3 linked regions of the Ovis aries genome follow. The protein of the gene in region 3 purifies or fractionates together with the protein of the main gene of each other region. This does not show direct contact. Links are inferred from orthologs where the notes say so. Each region holds a gene or a part of one and is shown on either strand. Other genes may lie near its edges. The genes, in order: DEPDC5, SESN2 and MIOS.

Region 1 (3,652 bases), on a different chromosome or scaffold from region 3:
GCACTTGTGCAAAGCACTGAACTGGAGCTGCTTGGCATCTATCTGTCTTTTTCTTCCCACCAGCTCTTGAGTGAGGGAGGAACCTTTGTCTCAGTGGGATGAGCAAGTTTGCCTGGTGTTAGCAAGTGAAGGAGCCAGAGCAGTGATTCTATCAATACTAACTCAGTCTGAATCCAAATCCTTTCTTCTAATGACTATACCATGCTGATCTAGGAACTAAAATGTTAATTGATAGCAAATAAAATAATTCCTTAAACGGCACTGAAAAGAAAAAATTTTTTTTAATCTTCTCTAAAGGATTTTGATGTCAACCACTTTTTTATGTTTTAAATTGACGGGAAAACGTGTTTTCAAACCTAGATCCTGAGTGTCCTTTTTGCTCTCACCTCAGTGCTCTTGCCTGGAGAATCCCAGAGATGGGGGAGCCTGGTGGGCTGCCGTCTGTGGGGTCGCACAGAGTCGGACACGACTGAAGCGACTTAGCAGCAGCAGCCGCATCTCCTGCTGCCTATTACGTTCTTACTTAGCAGACTTCAGGGCTCATTGGAAAGTTTGTTTCTTTCTTGACTACCATCACCACTTTTACTCCAAAAGAGAAAGGGTCTCTTTCCTCTTCTCAATTTTCACAACCCTTTGAATTTTCTTGTGTTGCTTCTTAAACTCTTTTTTCTCTCTCTCTATTTCAGTCTGTCTCTCTCTCATTTTTTAATTGCTTGGCTTCAGGTCTTACTTCACCTGAACAGCAGAGAACTCTCTAAGTTTTAAGTTCCTGAAGACAGAAAACATGTCTTGCCCTTGGTAAAGGATCAGTTGTGTTGTTTGTTGAATGTTTGGGCATTTATAGATTGTGTGTGTGTGTGTGCACACACACACGCACACACGTGCCCTCAGTTGTATCTCATTCTTTGTGACCCCATGGACTGTAGCCTGCCAGTCTCCTCTGCCTATGAATTTTCTAGGGAAGAATACTGGAGCGGGTTGCCATTTCCTTCTCCAGGCGATCTTCCCGACCCAGGGATCGAACCCACATCTCCTGATTCTCCTGAATTGGCAGGCAGATTCTTTACCACTGAGCCACCTGAGAAGCCGTTTATAGATTAGAATGTATTTGCCTGGTTTTTCAGAATGCTCTATGTGATTCAGATTTCTTCTCTGTTTCAGAAACCATCAGTGTGGACCAGACTGTGACTCAGGTGTTCCGGCTAAGACCTTATCAAGATGTGTATGTGAATGTTGTTGACCCTAAGGTGTGTCTTTGTTCTGGATTTGAATATCTTATGGGGAATGATTAATGCCCTTCCTCAACAGTAGGTCTCTAAGGAAATAATGAGTTACTTAGGGCTTGCCTGGTGGCTCAGACAGTAAAGAACCCGCCTGCAATGCAGGAGACTTGGGTTCAGTCTCTGGGTCTGGAAGATCCACTGGAGAAGGGAACGGCTACCCACTCCAGTATTCATGCCTGGAGAATTCCAGAGACAGGAGAGCCTGGTGGGCTACCGTCCATGGCGTCGCAAAGAGTGAAACACGATGGCACAACTAACACGCCAAGTGTAGTGTAGACTATTCAATGTGTGGTCCTACATAGGTCGTTTAGGTTATAGACAGAGTGTACGTTGCATTGAAAGTCCTCCTTTTTTTAAAAGCTTGTCCTATCAAGGTTCTGTACATATATGTGTGTTTGTGAAGCTAAATATAAAATTCTCTATAAAATACTAAAATTTCTTTCTGTGTTCTCATTTTACTTTGGGCAATGATGCTGTAAAATTAAGAGGTAAAAAAATTCATTGTCCAAATGACATGATCGATATTATCTAGGGAAATAAAACCCAGCTCACTGTCACATTTCTGTACCAAAATCAGGACTAAAACACTGACTGTCTACTCTGGTGTGCTTTGCACTTGACCATAGTACAGTAGCTGTCATATCTGTTGGACACGTCCCTGTCTTCAAAAGCCTTCTCAGGCAGGATAAAATTCTGTTTCTCAGGGTTCCGCTAATGAATGGGCTTCCCTTGTGGTTCATCGGGTAAAGAATCTGCCCGCAATGCAGGAGACCTGGGTTCGATCCCTGGGCTGGGAAAATCCGTGGAGAAGGGAAGGTTATGCCCTCCAGAATTCTGGCCTGGAGAATTCCATGGACTGTATAGTCCATGGGATCACAAAAGAGTCAGACACGGCTGAGCGACTTTCACTTTCACTACTGAATGGTCTTCAGTGCTTGTCTTTTTGTCAAAAAGTTTCTCTGTGGTGAATGAGCACTATCTTCCGCCTGTAAAGCATGGCAGAGTAATGCAGAAACATACATCTGATTATCCTTTTTAGGATGTGACCCTTGACCTTGTGGAATTAACCTTTAAGGATCAGTATATTGGCCGTGGGGATATGTGGCGACTAAAGAAAAGTTTGGTAAGATGTGATTTTTTTTTTGTTTTAAAGTCTGTTACTTTTTTGATTATAACATAATCCATGTCACTGGGGAGATGTCTGTCTAGTTGGAAGAAGGGTGTAAAATCATTTCCGGTTCTAGCATCACAGACAGTTATTGTAGAGATGTTGTCTGTCTCCTTCCATTCTCTTTTCATGTTTTTTTTCATGCTTTGTTCTGCTTGTTTGTTGTCACAGAGTTTTACTCTGCATTTTTTGATCTGAATGGGAAAGTATAATATGACTTTACATTTAAATGGGACTTTGATTTTCAAGTTTTCACCTGACTTCATTTGCTCTTCATATCTCCTTCTGTGGATAGGCATTTATTACCCTGAATTTATATATATGAAAACTGAGATAGAGGGGTTGAGTGAGTTCCCAAGACGAGAAAGCTAGTAAACAGTTGACACTCGGCTGGAACCGAGATCTTGTTGCTTCCAGGTTAGACTGCTTTTCGCTTTCCCCTCATCCCATTTTTCCTTGTTTATTTATTTTTAACTGGCATTTTCCACCGAACACGATCAGTTCATCACAATTGCGAGCTGGTGTGGAAACTTCTCCTTTTGGACTCTTTGGCAATTGTGGAACAGCAAATCCTAAGTAAAATGTCCACACTGTATATTTTTAGACAGAGATATCTTTGCTTATTTTTTATTTGGTGGGAGAAGGTTCCGTTTTCTAAAATGAGAAGTAGATGTTCTATATGTAAATATAGGTGCATATGTGAGCGTCTATGACAAGTATACAGGGGAAGCTGGCCACTTACTATCCACCCAGTCTTCACTACTGTCTGTACCTGCCAAGCCCTTCAGAACCTACTGTTATACCCGCCCCAGCAGGTTTCCCTGTGGGATAAACCTATTGCTCCCATGTTAATTGAGTATCGGGTTGTTGGAAGAGATTAGAGAGCCAGGAGACTTTCTCTGTGACCTTTCATGGCCTCGATGTGTTGTTGAATCTCTCTCTCTCTCCACCTAGGTCAGCACATGTGCCTATATCACTCAGAAGGTGGAATTTGCTGGCATCAGGTAACTACTGTGTCACTCCTGATTCATCAGCTTGTAAACAGGAGCAGGATCCAGTGCAGTAACTGTTCTACATAAGGCCTTTGAGGCGTGTGGATATCCATATAATAAAACACACAGTAGGCCCAGGAGCAGACAGATCTGTTTGCTGGGCACACTGAAAGCCCATTGGAACATCTAGTTTGGGTGTTTTTCTGCTT
Region 2 (3,652 bases), on a different chromosome or scaffold from region 3:
CTGGCCGTGACAGGGCCTACACAAGAAATTTGGGGTCTCCTGCCTGTCTCCCTGAGTCCCTGGAACCAACTGGAAAGGCTCACTTTTTTGGCAAATGTCTGTGGCAGGGCCAAGGGAGATGAGACAGCATGGGGTGCCAGCCTCTGCCAGGTAGGTCAGCTCTGGGGAAACACTCCTGCCCTCAGACACTGCCTGAGGCTCTAGGGGTGGGCAGCAAAGAACCTCACCCACGTAAAACCAAAACACAGAGAATTTATCATATAATACTCCCTCCTCATCTGAAGGCAAAGTAACCAACAGAGACTTTAAACTCTAGAGATAATCTACTTGCTTGATGTGCTTGGTCTCTCTCCTGGGGCCTCACTCCACCAGGTGGTGGAGAAAAGGGTAAGAGGGCAAAGGGAGTCAAGGGAATTGAACTAGGACTGGCATGACCAGGGAGCAAGGGGTCTGTGGGCTGCTGGACAGAACGGGCTTCTGGGGAGCCAGATGCACAGACCGGCTGTGACCCTGATTTTCACATTGATGGGTGAATGGCAGGTGGGAGGTAATGAAGTCTTGTGGAGGAGGGAGCTGGAGGAGAGGTGAAGCTGCTTGGAGTGTCAGTCCCTGGAGGTGTTTGCCCCTCTCCCTGGGGGCCAGCCAGGGACTTCCCAGGCCAGGAAGGCCAAAGTACTTGTGCTGCCTGGGCCCCCGCCTGCTGGCACACAAGTCCACGCTCAGTCCATTTTCCTTCCTGTGCCCTTGGCCTCTGAGGGTAAGGGCGGTTAGAAGGGGCTGGCACCTGGGAATCCGCTATGGTCCTCTTCCAGCCCCCGACGCCCCAGGGGCAGAGCTGAGATACCAGAGTCAGTGCGATGGTCCTGTCCATTCCAGTGAGAAGGAGGGTGTGGCTGGGGAGGCTGCACATCACACCCCAGGCCCACCCCCAGAGCAGGGTAGGTGGGTATGGGACAGTAAGAGATTAGGGTCTGTCTCCAAACAGAGAAGTCCTTGCAGCGAGAAGGATGCCCCCCACGGTCAGCTGTTCCAGGCACAGATCTTGCACGTGAGTCAGGTCATGTAACGGGTGATGGCGCGAAGGGCATAGAGCAGGGCGGCTTGCATGCGGGCCTCCAGCAGTAGCAAGTTCACGTGGACCTGGGGGCACAGACGAGGGCTTGTTGGCAACTGATGTCACTCCTCACCATCCCCTTCCCTGCCAGAGTGCCATCATCCCTGACCACCCATTTCATCCTTCCCTTTCCTAAGGCTCTGAGTAACTTGGTGCAAGGACTGTGGGAGAATTTCAAGCATGTTTATCCCGATCATGACTAACCTCTTTATCCCCCAAAGCTAAAAACAACAGCTACCTCTGAGCATTTATTTGGGATCAGAGGTTTACCTTCATTTTCTCACTTCATCCTCCCAGCGACCTTGAAATACAGGCAGTTTTTAAATTTTTATTGTCAAGATAACAAGCTCAGAGAAGCAAAATGACCTGCCCAAGGTCACACAACTCCTAAGTGACAGTGTTATGATATGAACCCAGGTCCTTCCGGCTGCCACTGAGGACACCCATTTTACGGGTGAGTAAATGGGCTTCCCAGGGGGCGCTCGTGATAAAGAACCTGCCTGCCGATGCAGGAGACATGAAGAGACTCAGGTTGGATCCCCGGGTCGGGACCTCAATGGTCCCGAGCCCTCGCCTCCTCCACAGGCTTCCATCCTGTTCCTCCCCCATGAGCCGCACCTTCTCTGAGTGGCGGAAGTGCCTCCAGAAGTGGTTGTACATTCTTCGGGTGGTCTTCTCCGGATAGCAGGCCACTGTCTTGATATAGACCTTGAGGTTCCGCTCCAGGAGCTGGTTCACCTCCCCGTAGTCATAGTCATCATATCTGGATGGAAGACCCAGAAAGAATCACTCACACCTCTGCTCCCACAGAACTTCTCTCCCCCAGCCCCACTCTGCAGAAGGGGGACAGAGAGCAGCAAGAAAAGGCAGAAGGTAGGAAGCAGCTAGAAGCTTGGTTCCTCTTAGAAAAGCAGCTAATGTCATATATCACAGGCCACTGGACTTGCAAGGGAATGCACAGAGGCCGAGCACGCTGCACTGACCATGTGGACATATATTCACAGCATCCTCGAAACTTCAGTACAGGACTGGATACAATACTATTGTATACAGTGTACTGTATTCATCAGTCTCACTTTATAGATGAAATGGAGGTTCAGAGAAGTGAAGTCCCAGGTCACACAGCTGGGAATGGAATTCAAACCCAGCTCTGCCTGCCTCCACGCTCATAGTCACCACTTTACAGCTAAGGCCATACATGGGAGATGGGGCAGGAGATCAGTGTGAATGTTTACCCTGGAGAAGGAAGAGGGAAAGGGAAAAAGGAGTTGGTAGTCATTTTACTGATGGGCAAACTGAAGCCTGTGGAAGGCAATCAGCTTGTTCAAAGTCAAAGAGCAAGTTGGTGACAAGTCTAGAAGCTATTCTGTTCCTCCCCAGTCCAGCGAGGCGGTGAGTCATCACGGATCAGTGTGGATGAGGAAGACCGGTTTTAGACTAGAGGGCAGATTTGGTAAACAAAGGTTTAGGAGCAAGGGCCATGTTGCAGAGTGGAGCAGCCTGGACCTGGAAGCTGGGCACCAAGGGAGGCCACGATGTGCCACATATACACCCTAAGATGCCCATCATCCTTGGCTTCTCCTGGATTGGAGACTTGTGAAAGAGGTTGGCCAGCGGGAGATTGGCCAATAAAGCACAGCTCAGCCCACGCAGTGAAATATTGGGTTAGCCAAAAAATGCATTCAGGTTTTTCCATAAGTTGTTGACGGAAAAATCCAAATGAACTCTTTGACCAAGCCAATACCTGACAATAGTAAGAGCAGGTGGGATCATGAATGATTTTTATTTTCTTCTTTTATCTCTTTTTTTCTAAATTTACTAAAAATCAAATTTCACCATTGGGCATTTCTGTTGTTTTTCTTTATTATGAGAGAAGAACTGCTACTTAGAATGGAAATACAAACATAACTCTCTTTATATGTATATATGTGTGTATGTATGTAAGTATACGTGTGTGTGTGTGTGTGTGTGTGTGTGTGTAATCTCCCTAGTTATTCCTGGGGGTGGAATTAAAGCCTTTTAAGAACTGAGGATGGCTATTATCTTTTATAATCAGCCAAGGAATATATTTGATTTGAAGAATAGTATAGGCAGGAAGAAAGGGAAAGAAAGACAAAGAGAAAAAGGAAACAATTGTGAGCTTGGATAGAGGGCTTGTGGTACACCATGCCTGGATGAGGGGACTTTCACTTACCTGATGCCAAAGACGCAGTGGATGTAATTCCAGATGGCCCTGCGGAGCATGGAGGTATCTACTCCACTGTGCATGGCAATGGTGTTATAGGTGAGACTATAGGCTGCCTGGAACTTCTCATCCAGCAGCTGTCCACCCTCAGGGTAGAGCCGCTGGATCAGTGAATAGCCATGGTCTTCCCAGGTATAATCCTGAGAAACGTGGAAAGGGGTCAGTCAGTGAGTAGAATCCTTGGGGCCTGAGGCTGGCCAGAGAGACGCCATCTTCTGCAGCACAGCTGGTATCTCCATAGTGCCTCTCTCCACCCCCACAAATCTAACCCGCTGCTTGGTCTGGACCTGAGA
Region 3 (3,652 bases):
TCCATGCTCATTTATACATTTATATATCATAAGCTCCACGAGGATCTTTGAGTCATCCTAGCAATCAGCCTTAACTTAGTGCATTAAACAAGTATTCAAATTTATAGAGACATTATTTCTGCAGCAAATTTTTAAACAAAAATTTGAAGCAAATATGAGAAAGTTTTAAGACTTGATAAACCTGGGTGTTGACTTTTCATTAAATTAATAGCCTTTATAACAGAGCTTAAAATGCTTTATGGTTTAATTTTCTTCAAATTCTAGAAAACTGTTTTTATCTTTTCTTACCTATTTCAAAAGTAGAAAAACCTGAAAAGCTAGAACCTAGCAAAAAGCAATAGCACTCTAGCCATTACAATTTGCTGAGACTTATGGTCCAAAAGACATATTAAGTTCAATCATTTCTAAGTATTTAAGTTCACATAGAACTTACTAGACACCATATTTTGCTTCCTTGTTCTCTCACTGTAGTAGATTTTTATCTCAAATTGTTATTTTCTATTCATTAGTAGCAACGCCTTCCCTGGTGGCTCAGATGGTAAAGAATCGGTCTGTAATAGGGGAGACTTGGGTTCAATCCCTGGGTTGGAAAGATGGAAAAGGATACGGCAACTCACTCCAGTCCTCTTGCCTGAGGAATTCTATGGACAGAGGAACCTGGCGGGCTACAGTCCATGGAATCATAAAGAGCTGAACACAACTGAGGGACTAATGCTTTCTTTCAAGGCCATAAAAACAGTGATCAACATGCAGTGTAAAAAGTGAAAGTCCTGGATGAAAACAAGTCAAGACTAACATGCATCTAAAACGTTACATACTACATTTGTTAAAAATAAAGGATGGGGCGGGGGCGGGGGGACTTCCCTGTGGCCCAGTGGTTAGGAATCGACCTGCCAATGCAAGCGACCTGAGTTCGGTCCCTGGCCCCAGGAACTAAGACTCCACGGGCCACGGGGCAACTGAGGCCATGCGCCACCAATACTAAGCCGCACGTCCTGGGGCCTGTGCTCTGCAGTAAGAGAAGTCGCCACAGGGAGAAGCCCGCGCGCCGCAACTAGAGAGCAGCACCTGCTCCCTGCAACTAGAGAAAGCCCGTGAGCAGCAGCCCTGCTGAAAATACGTAAGATAGACAAAAGAAATCCATGCTTTAGAAAAAAAATCTATTCTGAAAAACAGTAACAATACTACTAGCAAATCTCTTTCAGACGTTAAAGCAACAATAAAACAGACTACTTACAAGAATAACCTGCAGAACAGAATTATAAAGTTTCATAACTAGGAGGATCTCCCAGTCCAACACTCCATTTATAAGTGGGTTAAAGTGACTCTCAATCTCGCAGACTAAACGTCACAGAGCCAGAACTGAAACAGGCATTCTGATATCAGACGCAGTTCTTCATTCCTTATTCATTTACCACTATGCCAGATATTCAAGTGTGTCTAGCTAAAATTTTTGCCTTAGTATGATTTTTAACTTATATAAATAGCTGAAATATTTCCAGCCACTAGGTACATTTATATTCGATTATCTACTATTCTCAAAAATGTTCTCTGTATGTTGACGTTAAGCAGTATACAGTAATTCTAGTATTTTTAACCATTAAAAAAGTACATATATTTACAAAATAGCTGACGGACATAGCAGAAACAACACCAAAACTTAGAAGGACAGGACTCTGAATGCTAGGTTAATACTTTCCCCATATATTTTCACAGGCAGATTTTGAAGATGAAATAAGAGAAAATGTCAAAGGGCTTTGAGATGATCAAAAGTTCTTTATGCACACAAGATATCTGTTACTTGATGAGGCCACAGTGACTTTTAAGCATAAAATTTAAAAGTGGTAAGAAAACAGTATATAATTATTTAATATTTAAGCTCTTCTTACAAACTTTAAACTGGTAAGCATGTGTGGTTAGAGATACTGCGGATAGAGAGTTTACTTTCAATGTACAGATTTTATAAATTATAGAACACAAAAACTGCCAAGCCAGCAAAGTGGCTTGCTCTTAGAAATAATATAAACCCAAGGTGGTATGTCTTTTATTTACAACATCATTAAATCAATTATGTAGAAACAATTTCAGCTCAAAAGAGTATACTGAATTATTACATGGAATCACGTCATACCAGGACAACTGGAGACAGGCGTTCCCATATTAATGAGGCAAAGTGCACAGCGAGGGAGGGGCTTTCGACAGCCGGGGCAACTTGTCACTTTAGATTTCGTTGGTGAGCCACTGACACCATACTGGCTGAAACCTCGGCCCTGGTGGGGAACAGTGGAGCAGCTGTAGGAGATGGACTTTCCACAAAAATTGCAGCTCACAAACACCTATGAAACAGGTGAAAGGAGAAATAAATAAAACGCAAACTTCATGAATAAAATTTAAAATAACTAAAGTTTGGTCCTAACAAATTATCTTTCAATAATTTTTAAAATTTTATTGTATACTGTAAGTTATCTGCTAAGCCGGCTAGTTCTAAGACTTCTACTTAGCGGTTACATAATTTGAATACTTCTTGTTACTTTGTTTAGTTATATTCTTCCTAACATCACTGATAGGTACAGGAAAACTCAGAAGGATTAGATTCTAAATTTTAGGAATAACAAAGACTAAACAAGAGTTTACACTGGGACATAACAAAATACCTAAATGACTTTTGATACAAATTTCAATGATATAATATTCTGAATAAAATTTTCCTTTAAAGAAAATACTCATTTTCTAAGATTAAAAAGGAGTTAGGGAGCCTATAATAGTAAATAGCTAAAACTCAGGAATAATAGCAATATAAACTGTTCATTTTACCTTTAAACTCCTAGACTCTCAAACACGTATAATACAGAGTAGTAGCAAATATCATGTAACACTACTTTATTAATATTCAGGGTGTTTTAATACAAACAGTAATTTCTCAACTTTCTAAAACAGGAAGACAGCACCATCCAGTGCTCACATCGAGGATATACCTGACTGCTAATGAGATTTAATACTTGGAATCAGATACAGTGATCTCATGTCAAGTGCTTATGTAACAATTGATCTCATGCTGCTTTTTTTAAGTCAAAGTACAGTCGATCTACAATAGTATATAATTTTAAGTGCACAGCAAAGTTAATTCAGTTTTAGAGTATTTTCAAGAGTCTTTTAGGTTATAACAAGACAGTGTTACAGTAAATTCTTGTTTATTTTAAATAGTGCTTATTTCATGTTTTTTAAACTACTGCTTGAAAAATAAATTTCTATGTGTAATTAGACATATAGATATATATTTATGTACTATTAAACAAATCCTGCCTTATTACATATAATAGTGCAGAAAAACACAATACCCAAGTGCAAAGTGTAAGAACATACAGTAGTTAAAATTTGAAAGGTCTTGGAATAGACCAGAAAGCCTCACTCAGACAGTCTTAGGACTGAGTTGGGTTTGCCTAAGATCCTCTAGGCCTGCTGTGGTTTGTTCTGTGTTAGATTAAAGTGCAAGACACTGAGAGGACTGTTAGAAAGTGTAGGATCAAAAAAACATGAAAACTAAACACAAAGCAGAGTCTGGTTAGACAAAGACATCAATGGGAACTCAACATGAGCAAAAGAACGAGTTTATTAATAGCGATTTATTAAACTGAACCCTCAATTGACCCTA

Evidence for each region.
Region 1: the proteins of MIOS (region 3) and DEPDC5 purify together in Homo sapiens (affinity purification with western blotting; 3 studies listed by BioGRID and IntAct, with this or other methods). This does not show direct contact. The link is inferred for Ovis aries from reciprocal best matches to the Homo sapiens genes MIOS and DEPDC5.
Region 2: the proteins of MIOS (region 3) and SESN2 purify together in Homo sapiens (affinity purification with western blotting; 5 studies listed by BioGRID and IntAct, with this or other methods). This does not show direct contact. The link is inferred for Ovis aries from reciprocal best matches to the Homo sapiens genes MIOS and SESN2.

The regions. Positions count from the first base shown.
Region 1 is NC_056070.1:70,308,735-70,312,386, forward strand, and holds part of DEPDC5 (GATOR1 complex protein DEPDC5), read left to right. Parts: intron 1-1,161; coding exon 1,162-1,247; intron 1,248-2,322; coding exon 2,323-2,406; intron 2,407-3,405; coding exon 3,406-3,455; intron 3,456-3,652. UniProt on the Homo sapiens protein: As a component of the GATOR1 complex functions as an inhibitor of the amino acid-sensing branch of the mTORC1 pathway.
Region 2 is NC_056055.1:238,843,784-238,847,435, forward strand, and holds part of SESN2 (sestrin-2), read right to left. Parts: intron 3,500-3,652; coding exon 3,309-3,499; intron 1,878-3,308; coding exon 1,733-1,877; intron 1,141-1,732; coding exon 1,054-1,140; 3' UTR 1-1,053. UniProt on the Homo sapiens protein: Functions as an intracellular leucine sensor that negatively regulates the mTORC1 signaling pathway through the GATOR complex. In absence of leucine, binds the GATOR subcomplex GATOR2 and prevents mTORC1 signaling.
Region 3 is NC_056057.1:16,419,033-16,422,684, reverse strand, and holds part of MIOS (GATOR complex protein MIOS), read right to left. Parts: intron 2,337-3,652; coding exon 2,132-2,336; intron 1-2,131. UniProt on the Homo sapiens protein: As a component of the GATOR2 complex, functions as an activator of the amino acid-sensing branch of the mTORC1 signaling pathway. The GATOR2 complex indirectly activates mTORC1 through the inhibition of the GATOR1 subcomplex.